3 linked regions of the Rattus norvegicus genome follow. The protein of the gene in region 2 interacts with the protein of the main gene of each other region in a pairwise test. Links are inferred from orthologs where the notes say so. Each region holds a gene or a part of one and is shown on either strand. Other genes may lie near its edges.

Region 1 (3,748 bases), on a different chromosome or scaffold from region 2:
CAAAAGAGGGACAAAGAGATGTGGAAAGACAATAACTGAAGATGCGATAACTGAATAAGGCTGGGAGCTGAGGTAGAAAAGCCAGGAGAGACTAATCTGATACCAGGAGAGCAGCTGTGGGAATAATGAAGGAGGGGAAGATGAGAAATGTGTCGCAGGTGAGAAAAAGCAGGTCTGGCTGGCCGGGGGCAAAAGGAAAGAGCAGCCTGAGCTTGCCAGCAGCAGAGTGACTCAGGAGAATTAGCAGCTGGGGCGGATCAGGATGAAGGTAGCAGAGATATAACACTTTGGGAGTTTTTCAGCATAGGCGAGAGAGGTAAGGTGCTCATCCCAGACATCCCAACGCAGAAGATAAAAACTAAAACCTCTTAAAGAGTAGAGTTGCCCCCCCCCCAAAAAAAAGGTGGAGTATAGGAACTTACTGGGATTTGTATGGTTTATATGGGGAAGTGATGGGAACCAAGGCTGAGTTCTTAGAGGTTGTTAGGCATACATAAATGCTGTGTATGTGGGGCCAGAAGACTGAAATCAAACCTAGGGAGTGGTCAGTTTTTAGAAAGGCATAAATTTGCTGTAAATGTTGAGTAATGCTCAGTCTGTCCTGTGCGATGCTTAAGGTACACTTGCTATAGAAAAGAATTATTTACCGCTTACCCAAACTCTTCTGAATTAGGCACTTCAAGTTTCATTTGGTAACCAGAATAGGGATTGTGAAGTTAAATGATTACAGAGTAGGAAGGGGAAGTGGGATAGGAGGCAGGCGCAGTGGGGGCAGGGCTGCCTGGTGTTCAGAGATGGCCAGGGGATGTGTCCTACTCTTCTGTTTCCAAAGAGAATAGAAGTACGCATTTTTATTGCGTGCGATCTCAATTTTGAAAGAGGGCAACTAAGGGAACCAAAAACATTGGTGATAGGAAAGCAATCCTGTGGTACCAAGGATATATGGGCCTGGTGGTGGTTTGTAACCTCTGATCCAATCTGTGGAATGGGTGGGGCGACTTTTACCCTCTCAACTATGAAATGGGGGCTCGGTAGAGGGAAGGACAGCAATTGAGGATTAAATTCCCTGTGCTCGGATTGTAGAGATCGCTTCCCTAGCCAAACGCCTTGGTCTTTTCCCAGTGCCTTAGCACCAACAGCCCTCACAGGACACACCCCATAGCACAGGTCTTGCAGCTGTGGAATAGCTAATGTCCTCTAGGGGTATCCAGCGCTGATTTGCTGAGTGGGACCTCAGGCAGGTAAGCCTGGTTTACCAGTGAGCACAGAGATGCCAATTGGAACTTCGAAGAGTTTTCGTCAGAAATTTGTGGGCGGAAACTTCCTGGGGTTGCTGTGAGCTTTTTTTTTTCTTTTAAGGCTTCTCAGCTTCAGATGCAAATGAGTGGGTGTCTCACGGAGAAGCAAAGAGAAGAGAACTGGAGAGAGGTGTTTCCCTTGACTGTGGAAACTTTATAAAGAAAACTCACTTACCTTCTCTGGAGCAGTCAGCATCAGAGTCCTGTCCTTGACACTTCAGTCTCCACAAGACTGAGAGGAGGAAACCCTTTCCTGGGGCTGGGTGCCATGCAGCAGCCCGTGAATTACCCATGTCCCCAGATCTACTGGGTAGACAGCAGTGCCACTTCTCCTTGGGCTCCTCCAGGGTCAGTTTTTTCTTGTCCATCCTCTGGGCCTAGAGGGCCAGGACAAAGGAGACCACCGCCTCCACCACCACCTCCATCACCACTACCACCGCCTTCCCAACCACCCCCGCTGCCTCCACTAAGCCCTCTAAAGAAGAAGGACAACATAGAGCTGTGGCTACCGGTGATATTTTTCATGGTGCTGGTGGCTCTGGTTGGAATGGGGTTAGGAATGTATCAACTCTTTCATCTACAGAAGGAACTGGCAGAACTCCGTGAGGTAAGTCTAGCACATGGGTTAATAGGCCCTTGAGTTCCTGGACTCTGCTGTGTGGGAGTAGGGACTTGCTATGGCCCATGTGGGCCACTGTGTTGTTTGCAATGATTTGAGGTTTTTGCTGTTGTTTTGTTTTGAATGGCAAAGATCTTATTGATCCCCTCGCTTTTAGAAAAGAGTTGTTATAGTCTCTTCTTTCTAGTTGGAGAAGCAGGCGTTCACTCCCTCAAAGAGAGTGATCCTCACTCAACCTGTGGGTCATGACCCCTTAGTGGGGGAGCCATTTTATGGCTGGGGGTCACCACAACATGAGGAACTGTATTAAAGAGCTGCGGTGTTCCCTTGAGAACCACTGCTCAAAGGAAGTTATTTTCCACCTTCTAGACAATTCGAAGCAAATAATTATTCTTCTCTCACTTGTCAATGGTGTTTGATGAACTTTTTATTGCTTCATATTTAGTGATTCAAGGAAGAAGATAAACTTTAAATCTTGTTCAGAAGTGTAAATAAATCTCTTTGAAAAGACTTAGAAGCCTTACTATAACTCTAGATACAATTGCATGGCCAAACTCTAACTCAGTCAGGGTCTGACATATTTGAGTCCTCTTTCTATGGACTGCTGTGACTTCTGCCTCCTTGGCTTAAATAACTCCACATTTATTCTATGACTCTTTTTTCCCCCCCACTAGTTCACCAACCACAGCCTTAGAGTATCATCTTTTGAAAAGCAAATAGGTAAGTACTTTTATGTCTGTCTTTTGAGTTCCCGGAGGAACTCAACACTCAACAAAGTTGTGAGGATGCTTGAGATTCCGTCCCATTCTTGGGCTCATGATTCCTAGGCACAAAATCCTGAGGAACTTTTAACTCTTTGTTCAGTGTGAAAAGGTAGTTTACTGCTCAATATCAGTGTATCTGAATGAATATCGAACGTAACTCAATAGAATTTGGACTTGACTGGAAAGGAGCACACATACAGCCCTGGATCTTTTCCCTTGGCTCCTTCCATGGATATCTTGGTCCCATCTTACATTGTGGTGACTGTGACTCCTAAGGACAGAGGCAAAAATACTAGATGCACAATATTAGACCAATTAGGTTCAATGCCCAGCTTCCCTGGTATGAAACTGGGGCTAAGAGAACAGTCCCCTGACGCCTTGCTATCTATTAAGACTTTACAACGCACAGAGAAACTCCCACCTTTCAATAACGGCTGAGAAATGAGAAGCAAATGCAAAGCTGGTGTCTCTTGCAAGGGCAACACAACAGTTTTATCCTAATAACTGAAGAAAACCGAACCTTCCATCAAAAGGAGTGCTGGCTCCACACTCAGTGCGGCTTGGTCTTCATGTGGGTCCCTCAACAACTGGAGTGGGGGCTGTCCCTGAATCTGTTGCCTTCCTGTGGATCCCACTCCCCTAACTGGGCTGCCATGTCTGGCCTCAGTGGGAGAGGATGTGCCTAATCCTGAGTGACTTGATGTGCCAGAGTGGATTGATATCGGGGGGGGGGGGATGGGGGTGGGGGTCGCTCCCGCTTCTCAAAGGAGAAGAGGAGGGGTAGGAGGAGGGACTGTGTGAGGGAGGATGGGGGAGTGGCTGCAACCCGGATGTAAAGTGAATAAATAAATTAATTAATGGAAAGGAAGGAAGGAAAGAAAGAAGGAAGAAAGAAAGGGAGGAAGGGAGAGGGAGACGGAGAGGGAGAGAGAGAGGGAGAGAGAGAGACAGACAGAGAGAGACAGGAAGGAAGGAAGGAAGGAAGGAAGGAAGGAAGGAAGGAAGGAAGGGGATATAAGCTCTTTCAGGGGTCACTATGGTGTGCTCTGGTTTTCAGCTCTGCATTC
Region 2 (3,748 bases):
TGGAAAGAACCCAGATGCCCTTCAACAGAGGAATGGATACAGAAAATGTGGTACATCTACACAATGGAATATTACTCAGCTATCAAAAACAACGAGTTTATGAGATTCGTAGGCAAATGGTTGGAACTGGAAAATATGATCCTGAGTGAGCTAACCCAACCACAGAAAGACATACATGGTATGCACTCATTGATAAGTGGCTATTAGCCCAAATGCTTGAATTACCCTAGATCCCTAGAACAAACGAAACTCAAGACGGATGATCAAAATGTGAATGCTTCACTCCTTCTTTAAATGAGGAAAAAGAATACCCTTGGCAGGGAAGGGAGAGGCAAAGATTAAAACAGAGACTGAAGGGACACCCATTCAGAGCCTGCCCCACATGTGGCCCATACATATACAGCTACCCAATTAGACAAGATGGATGAAGCAAAGAAGTGCAGACTGACAGGAGCCGGATGTAGATTGCTCCTGAGAGACACAGCCAGAATACAGCAAATACAGAGGCGAATGCCAGCAGCAAACCACTGAACTGAGAATAGGTCCCCCGTTGAAGGAATCAGAGAAAGAACTGGAAGAGCTTGAAGGGGCTCGAGACCCCATATGTACAACAATGTCAAGCAACCAGAGCTTCCAGGGACTAAGCCACTACCTAAAGACTATACATGGACTGACCCTGGACTCTGACCCCATAGGTAGCAATGAATATCCTAGTAAGAGCACCAGTGGAAGGGGAAGCCCTGGGTCCTGCTAAGACTGAACCCCCAGTGAACTAGACTACGGGGGAAGGCGGCAATGGGGGGAGGGTTGGGAGGGGAACACCCATAAGGAAGGGGAGGGGGGAGGGGGATGTTTGCCCGGAAACCGGGAAAGGGAATAACACTCGAAATGTATATAAGAAATACTCAAGTTAATAAAAAAAAAAGAATAATGTCCAATTTTTAGCTTGTAGAAATCTCTTTTGATTATTATTCGCTTTTAGATATTTGCTAATAAAGATCTCCTAGTAGGTGGGTTATTAAAGAGAAAAAGACACAAAACTGGAGCTGGGTGTGGATCTGGGAGGAGTTAAGGGAGGCACTGATAATTAAAATATTCAAAATGCATAAGGATCTCCTAATCATGACATCTTTCCTTTTAATTTCAATTTGGTGACTTAATGCTTAACTGGTTGCGGCACACATTTTTAACTACAGTACCTGGGAGACTAAGACAGTAGGATTTTGAGTTTGAGGCCAGTTTTAGCGACACAACGAAACTCTTATCTGAGAACTTCGAGAATGAGCTGCTGATCAGATAAAGTCCTGTACTTAGTTGGCGACAATAATTGGAGTGTCAGATTCACGATGTACTCACATATATCAGAAAATTAAAGTTATTTCCACAGAAAAAAAGACTCACAATAAACTTATTTTTCATTTTCTTTTAACCCTTCCTCTGCTCATACCGATTAGTTGAAATACCACCACAGGGCAGGTCTAGAGAATTAAGTGCAGAGTTCCATATAATGATCATTTTCAGGATGTAGGCCACGGCTCAGGAACAACTGTGACTTCCAGCGCTGACTCACTTGGACAGGTTTTCTGTGGTCTGCTTTTGCATCATTTAGTTCTGAACTCTGATAATTATTTTTTTAACATGGACACGAGCCCATTCCTCTCCATACTGTAACCTTTTATTAACAGTTGTGCTTTATTAATAGTTAAGAGAATTTGCCATCTCACACTGTACATTCTGCCAAGAAACATACAACCCCGGATAGGAGAAATGATCAATGTCAGAAACTCACACTTGGGAAGCTCACTTTAGGAAGCTACACATTTAACATCTTTAATGTTCATGTTCCTATAGAAGCTTCTCATTATTTTGTAATAATATTTTTAGAAAGAAGTCTAATTTTCTTTCACAATTTCTATCAGAGAAAAACATTCAAGAACTAGTAGCAACAGCTAAAGAAGCTAAATTTCCTGCTTAAGAAAAAAAAAAGTATCACCTAAAAAACAAACAGCCAAAACTCTGTGGACGTAGCTCAGTGATTGAGCGCCCGCTCAGTGTGCCTGAGGCCAAGGCTTCAGTCTCAAGCACAAAAGCATAGCAAATAAACGAACAACCACAAAAAACAAAAACACAGCAACAACAAAAAAAGCAATGGTGAAAGAGAGCTGTTTAGGGTGGAGAAAACTGGACACCAGGTAGTTTTCAAATTTTTAGGTTTTCTGTAAATTATTCCAAAAGTATTCTTGATAAATCACCCATAGTCTACTGCGATAAAACTGGCTACTGGCATTATATTCTTCAGGGGTTAACCTTTACCCGGCCAAAGACAGTGGGGATTGTGAGATCATCTTACCTTGACACCAGTCACAGCCTGAGAGACCCCTTTATTTTCTGGGTCTTGGGGAATACTGGAATTGGAATCTTTCTCTGCTCTGATCAGGGGCAGCAACTGTGCCTGCTCAGCCTGCCCGGAAAGATGCTCCTCCAGGTAGCCTTGGTTTCCTTGGGGAAGGCTGGGCATGTTTTCCTAACAAATGCCCTACCGGAGTCTTGTCATCCGGTTTTACCAACATCCAGGTATCGTCTCTGTTCTTTGGCTGGCTAATGCTGGCCCATGTCTGAGTCTGCTGGGACCTTCTTGCAATGTTATTCTAAGCAAAGTAAAAGGCTGATCCCTTCTCTGGATCAGTAGTGGCTTATCTACCTATTTTAGCATTCCGTTCCAGATAGAGCTGCCCACTGAGTGTGTATGCCAAGACTGCCCTCTGTAGGTGAGTAAGAAAGTTTCTTCTTTATAAGTCACTGCTGTAATGCTCAGTGTCTCGAGTTAGAACAAGCTGCCCCTATGACAAATGGATGCGTTGTGAAAACCATCTGAGGGGACCTTTGAGGCAGCCCCCATCTGTTCATAGTACTGTTCTGATTTTCCCCATGCCTTTGTGCCTTTATGAAAGCAAAGCCCCCCAGAGTTCCGTGGAAGCAATGCTGCTGCTCTTCCGTGGCGTGTCAGCCGCTATTCCGTGCTTTGTCGGTATAGGGAGGGAACTGCTTGGTGGCTTTGTCCACAGGGAGGAAAGCACTAAAGGTTTAGACTAGGAAGCAGCTAAGCTCGAATGGCTGACTGTGGATATTGCTGGAGAACGGCAGGCAACGAATTGACTGTACCTGCCTGTGTCCAAAGAACCTGGCTGAATAGCAGTCAGTCCTGAACAATAATTAGCTCTTCACTCCTGGCCATGTTACAGTATCAGCCACGTGTAGGATGAGTCTTCCCGTTTCAGTTAGCCCAATTTAGAATGTCTCTCTCTCAGACATGCCAAGGGGTTCATCTACATGATTCTAAATGGTGTCAGAGAGAGGATGTTACCATCGTACAGCTTTCGTGTACTATCCTTGCCCGCAACTCTGAGCCACTCAGTCCTTTCCTCGCAAACTGCGTGTTCTTCATGTCCTGCTCTTCTCGCTTTCCGCTGCTGTAGACTTAAAGGCGCGCGGCGAACAGTAACTCAGATTTTGCTTAAACAGACAATATTATATATACATGCTTTTTATGTGATAGTCATATAACAGGCAAGGCTTGAATTCAAACTGAGTTATGAAAGAAACTTCACGTGGGTGGCGCACAGGAACATTTGGAAATATAAGAACATCTCTTTCAATCTCACCCTCTTTCATATTCAACCCACAGGCCATAACTGCTAAGTTATTAATGGAAGTTGTAGGAAGAAAGGATTTCCATATTTGGTTTTTC
Region 3 (3,713 bases), on a different chromosome or scaffold from region 2:
GATCCGAGACTCTTTTTTTTTTTTTTCTTTTTTTCGGAGCTGGGGACCGAACCCAGGGCCTTGAGCTTGCTAGGCAAGCGCTCTGCCACTGAGCTAAATCCCTAACCAATCTTATACATGTATTAATGTGCTTTGATAAAAATTCATCCCCTAACTCTTCTTCCTCCTAATTCCTTCCTGCCCATTATTATGAGTATTTCTTTGATAAAATATACCTCTTTTTTTAAAAGGAAGAAAAAGAAGTCAGACAGCAGTAGCACATGCCTTTAATCCCAGAACTCAGGAGGCAGAGGCAAGTGGATCTCTGAGTGCAAGGCCAGCCTGGCCTACAGAGAGAGTTCCACGACAACCAGGGTTACACAAAGAAACCCTGTCTTGAAAAACAAACAGGGGGCTGGAGAGATGGCTCAGCGGTGGTTAAGAGCACTAACTGCTCTTCCAGAGGTCCCGAGTTCAGTTCCCAGCAACCACATGGTGGCTCACAACCATTTGTAATGGGATCTGATGCTCTTTTCTGATGTGTCTGAAGACGGTTACAGTGTACTCATAAATATAAAATAAATAAGTAAATCTTTTTTTTTAAAGAAAAACAAACAAGCAAACAAAGAAACCAAAACCAAGAAGGAGGGAAAAAGCAGCAGATGCAGGTAAAGAATATTCTCTTGTGGCTGGAGAAATGGTTTAGCAGTTAAGAGCATTGGCTATTCTTTCGGGGGACCCTGGTTTGATTTCCAGCATTCACTGAGAGGGACTCTCGTCCCTCTAGTCACACTCTAGTCCCATGGGTTCCAACATCCTCTTTGTCCTCCTTGGACTTTGCATCCAGGTAATATCTCTCTCACACACACACACACATATATATATACACACACACTCAGAGGTATTGGGGGTTTTTTTTTTTGTTTGTTTGTTTTGAGACAGGGTTTCTTTGTGTGCCTTGGCTGTTCTGGAACTAGCTACATAGCCAGTAGAAGGTAGTTTGGGCTACATAGTGTGATCTGGTCTCAAAAAAAGTTAAGAGAGAGACAGAGAGACAGACAGACAGTAGACTACCACTTATGTTCAGGTTCCCTGCACCCCCAAGAGCAGCAGCTCCGGTCAACTACGCTCCTCTTACGCCCAGATGAGGGTCCTCCGGTTCCTCCCCTGTTTAGAGGAGCCTCACTGCTCAGCCTCCTCCTTGGTAATGGGTGCACTCGGGGGCCACGGCCCCTCCCTGAGGTCAGGGGTTGGAGAGCAGGCCCTGCTCCTTAGGCAGGGTCACAGTTTCACCCTATCGTTGCCGTTCTACTCTCCCTACCCCACCCCTCGCGGCGCCTCTCCTTTGGAGCCATGGTTCCTGTCCCGGGATCCCCCGGGCCTGCCTCTGACGGCGGGGACTCAGCTTCGGAGAGTCGGGAGGCATCAGGTGGCCCGCAGCTCTCGTCCTCTGCGTCCTTCTCGCGGTGGCTGACCGCGAGCTCCGAAGCGGGTGGCTGGCCGCTGCGCTTGGCGGGGTGGGGCGGGATGGCGGCGTCCGCGTGGCTGGAGGCCGGCCTGGCCCGGGTGCTCTTCTACCCGACGCTGCTCTACACAGTGTTCCGGGGGAGGGTGGGCGGCCCGGCGCACCGCGATTGGTACCACCGCATCGACCACACAGTGCTGCTGGGCGCGCTGCCGCTGAGGAGCATGACGCGCCGGGTGAGAGAGACCGGCGGGCCGGGCCGGGAGCGGGCCCCGGGCCTCGGCGGGCGCCCCGCGGCCCTCGCTGAGCCCCTTCTTTGCCTCGGCAGCTGGTACTGGACGAGAACGTGCGCGGAGTGATCACTATGAACGAGGAGTACGAGACCAGATTCCTGTGCAACACCTCGAAGGTAAGGACCCGGGCCCTCTGGCCTGGCTCAGTACTCGGGCCTGTAAAAGCTGGAGAAGCTAGGGGAAGGAGGGACGCTGTGGGTGACCTTGTCTCCGAGACTAGTGTCGGAGACACTAGTTGCCTTCTCGAGCACTGTGTCTGCGCGTCAAGTTCAAATGGCTGCAGGTGGAAAGACGCTGAAACTGATAAACCAGAAAGAAGTCCTGCGAGCCTGGAGCCCGGGCGACTCAGGTGGCTGAGGCAGGATCTTTTGAGCCCAGGAGTTCAAATGTGCCCTGGCCTCTGTCTAAAAAGAGCGAGCTAACCCGCTGTGGGTGGCTCACTCCTGGGATTTCAGCACCCTTAGGCAAGAAGAAGGGTCGGTGGAAGTTCCAGGCCAGCTTGGTGTATGTAGTGAGCTCTGTGCCAGTCAGGACACAAGGAAGTCCTGCTTTAAAATCGGGACGGGTTTACAGTTCTTCATGCACAAAATTGTACATGTATATGCTACTTTTCCTTTGTTTATTTTGAGACAGGGGTCTTAAGTCCTGATGTGATTCTACTGCCTCCACTTTCCCAGTACTGAGACTACAGGCATGTGCTAATACACCCATCTTATATTTGTGATTTTGGTCACTAACCTCAGTAACTAAAATTTGTGATTTATGTGTGTGGTGGTTTGACTATGCTTGGCTCTGGGAGTGGAACTAGAGAACCCTGACTAATACCGTGTGCCTTGCTGATTTCATTCATTTTAACACATTTTAGCATCAAGTTTGAATTAGGCAATATGTTCGTTAGCTTTGGAGATGAAGGCCAACTGTAAGGAAAGCATTTCTTTAAGAGAGAGTGTGGCTCTTATCTGTAATGTTAGCTCTTCATGAGTGAAGGTGGGAAGTGTTTAGTGAGGTGGAGGCCAGCCTGGGCTACACGAGCCTGTGTCTAAAAACAAAATCACAGATAAGAAAAGCGAACCCCCCTCTCTGCCAGGCATATTGGTGCATACCTTTAACCCCAGAACTCTGGAGACAGAGGCAGGCAGATCTCTGTGAGTTTGAGGCCCATCTGATCTATAAAGTGAGTCTAGAACAGCCAGAGCTATATAATGAAATCTTTTTTTTTTTTTTTTTTTGGTTCTTTTTTTCGGAGCTGGGGACCGAACCCAGGGCCTTGCGCTTCCTAGGCAAGCGCTCTACCACTGAGCTAAATCCCCAGCCCCATGAAATCTTATCTTGAAACCACCCAAAGAAAAGTAAAAAGAAGAACACTCCTTATTATATATACTATGTTAATAGTTATCATTGAAGAACTGCAGAGCGGGCTGTGGATGGATTTCAGTTGATAAACTGCTTGCCTAGAGTACATGAAGTCAGTGAAGAATAAAAACAAGGTGTGGCAGTGGCCCAGTATCCCAACACCCAAGAAGAAGACGATCAGATACTCAAGCTCCTGAGCCACATAGGAGTTCGAGGCTAACCTGTGGCATGGTATAGAAGGCCATTTATAGAAAAAGAAAAAAAGAAAATGACCGTTCCTGGATGCCCTAAAATATTGTCACAGGTCTCAAGGGGTCATTAGCTATCAGAGCTAATACTCACTCATGTGATCAATGTGAAAGGTCACTAAAGCCACACAGACAATGCTTGGTCTCTCCATGTGAGGCACTGTCCTCTGTAAGGTGGAGGGTTTTCATCCCACTAGCTAGAGAAAAGAAATCTCCAAGGCAGCAGCCACACTGGAAATGCCTAAGGATCTTCTGGCAGCCTTGCTAATAAGGCACAAGTTCCCACCTCAGGCCACCCCACCTCAGGCCACCCGACCCTCTCACCTTGATATTCTGACCCAGGGTTTATCTGCATAGTTAACAACTCTGAAAGTG

Evidence for each region.
Region 1: the proteins of Rgs20 (region 2) and Faslg interact in binary tests that used the Homo sapiens proteins (3 or more experiments, as listed by UniProt). The two-hybrid records come from large-scale screens. The link is inferred for Rattus norvegicus from reciprocal best matches to the Homo sapiens genes RGS20 and FASLG.
Region 3: the proteins of Rgs20 (region 2) and Ptpmt1 interact in binary tests that used the Homo sapiens proteins (3 or more experiments, as listed by UniProt). The two-hybrid records come from large-scale screens. The link is inferred for Rattus norvegicus from reciprocal best matches to the Homo sapiens genes RGS20 and PTPMT1.

Annotation. Positions count from the first base shown.
Region 1 is NC_086031.1:76,693,249-76,696,996, reverse strand, and holds the start of Faslg (tumor necrosis factor ligand superfamily member 6), read left to right. Parts: upstream 1-1,493; 5' UTR 1,494-1,566; coding exon 1,567-1,905; intron 1,906-2,591; coding exon 2,592-2,637; intron 2,638-3,748. UniProt on the Homo sapiens protein: Cytokine that binds to TNFRSF6/FAS, a receptor that transduces the apoptotic signal into cells. Involved in cytotoxic T-cell-mediated apoptosis, natural killer cell-mediated apoptosis and in T-cell development.
Region 2 is NC_086023.1:19,281,127-19,284,874, reverse strand, and holds the start of Rgs20 (regulator of G-protein signaling 20), read right to left. Parts: upstream 2,627-3,748; 5' UTR 2,519-2,626; coding exon 2,351-2,518; intron 1-2,350. UniProt on the Homo sapiens protein: Inhibits signal transduction by increasing the GTPase activity of G protein alpha subunits thereby driving them into their inactive GDP-bound form.
Region 3 is NC_086021.1:97,352,452-97,356,164, reverse strand, and holds the start of Ptpmt1 (phosphatidylglycerophosphatase and protein-tyrosine phosphatase 1), read left to right. Parts: upstream 1-910; 5' UTR 911-1,123; coding exon of another isoform or gene 1,124-1,332; coding exon 1,333-1,680; intron 1,681-1,772; coding exon 1,773-1,853; intron 1,854-2,366; coding exon of another isoform or gene 2,367-2,420; exon of another isoform or gene 2,421-2,428; intron 2,429-3,713. UniProt on the Homo sapiens protein: Lipid phosphatase which dephosphorylates phosphatidylglycerophosphate (PGP) to phosphatidylglycerol (PG).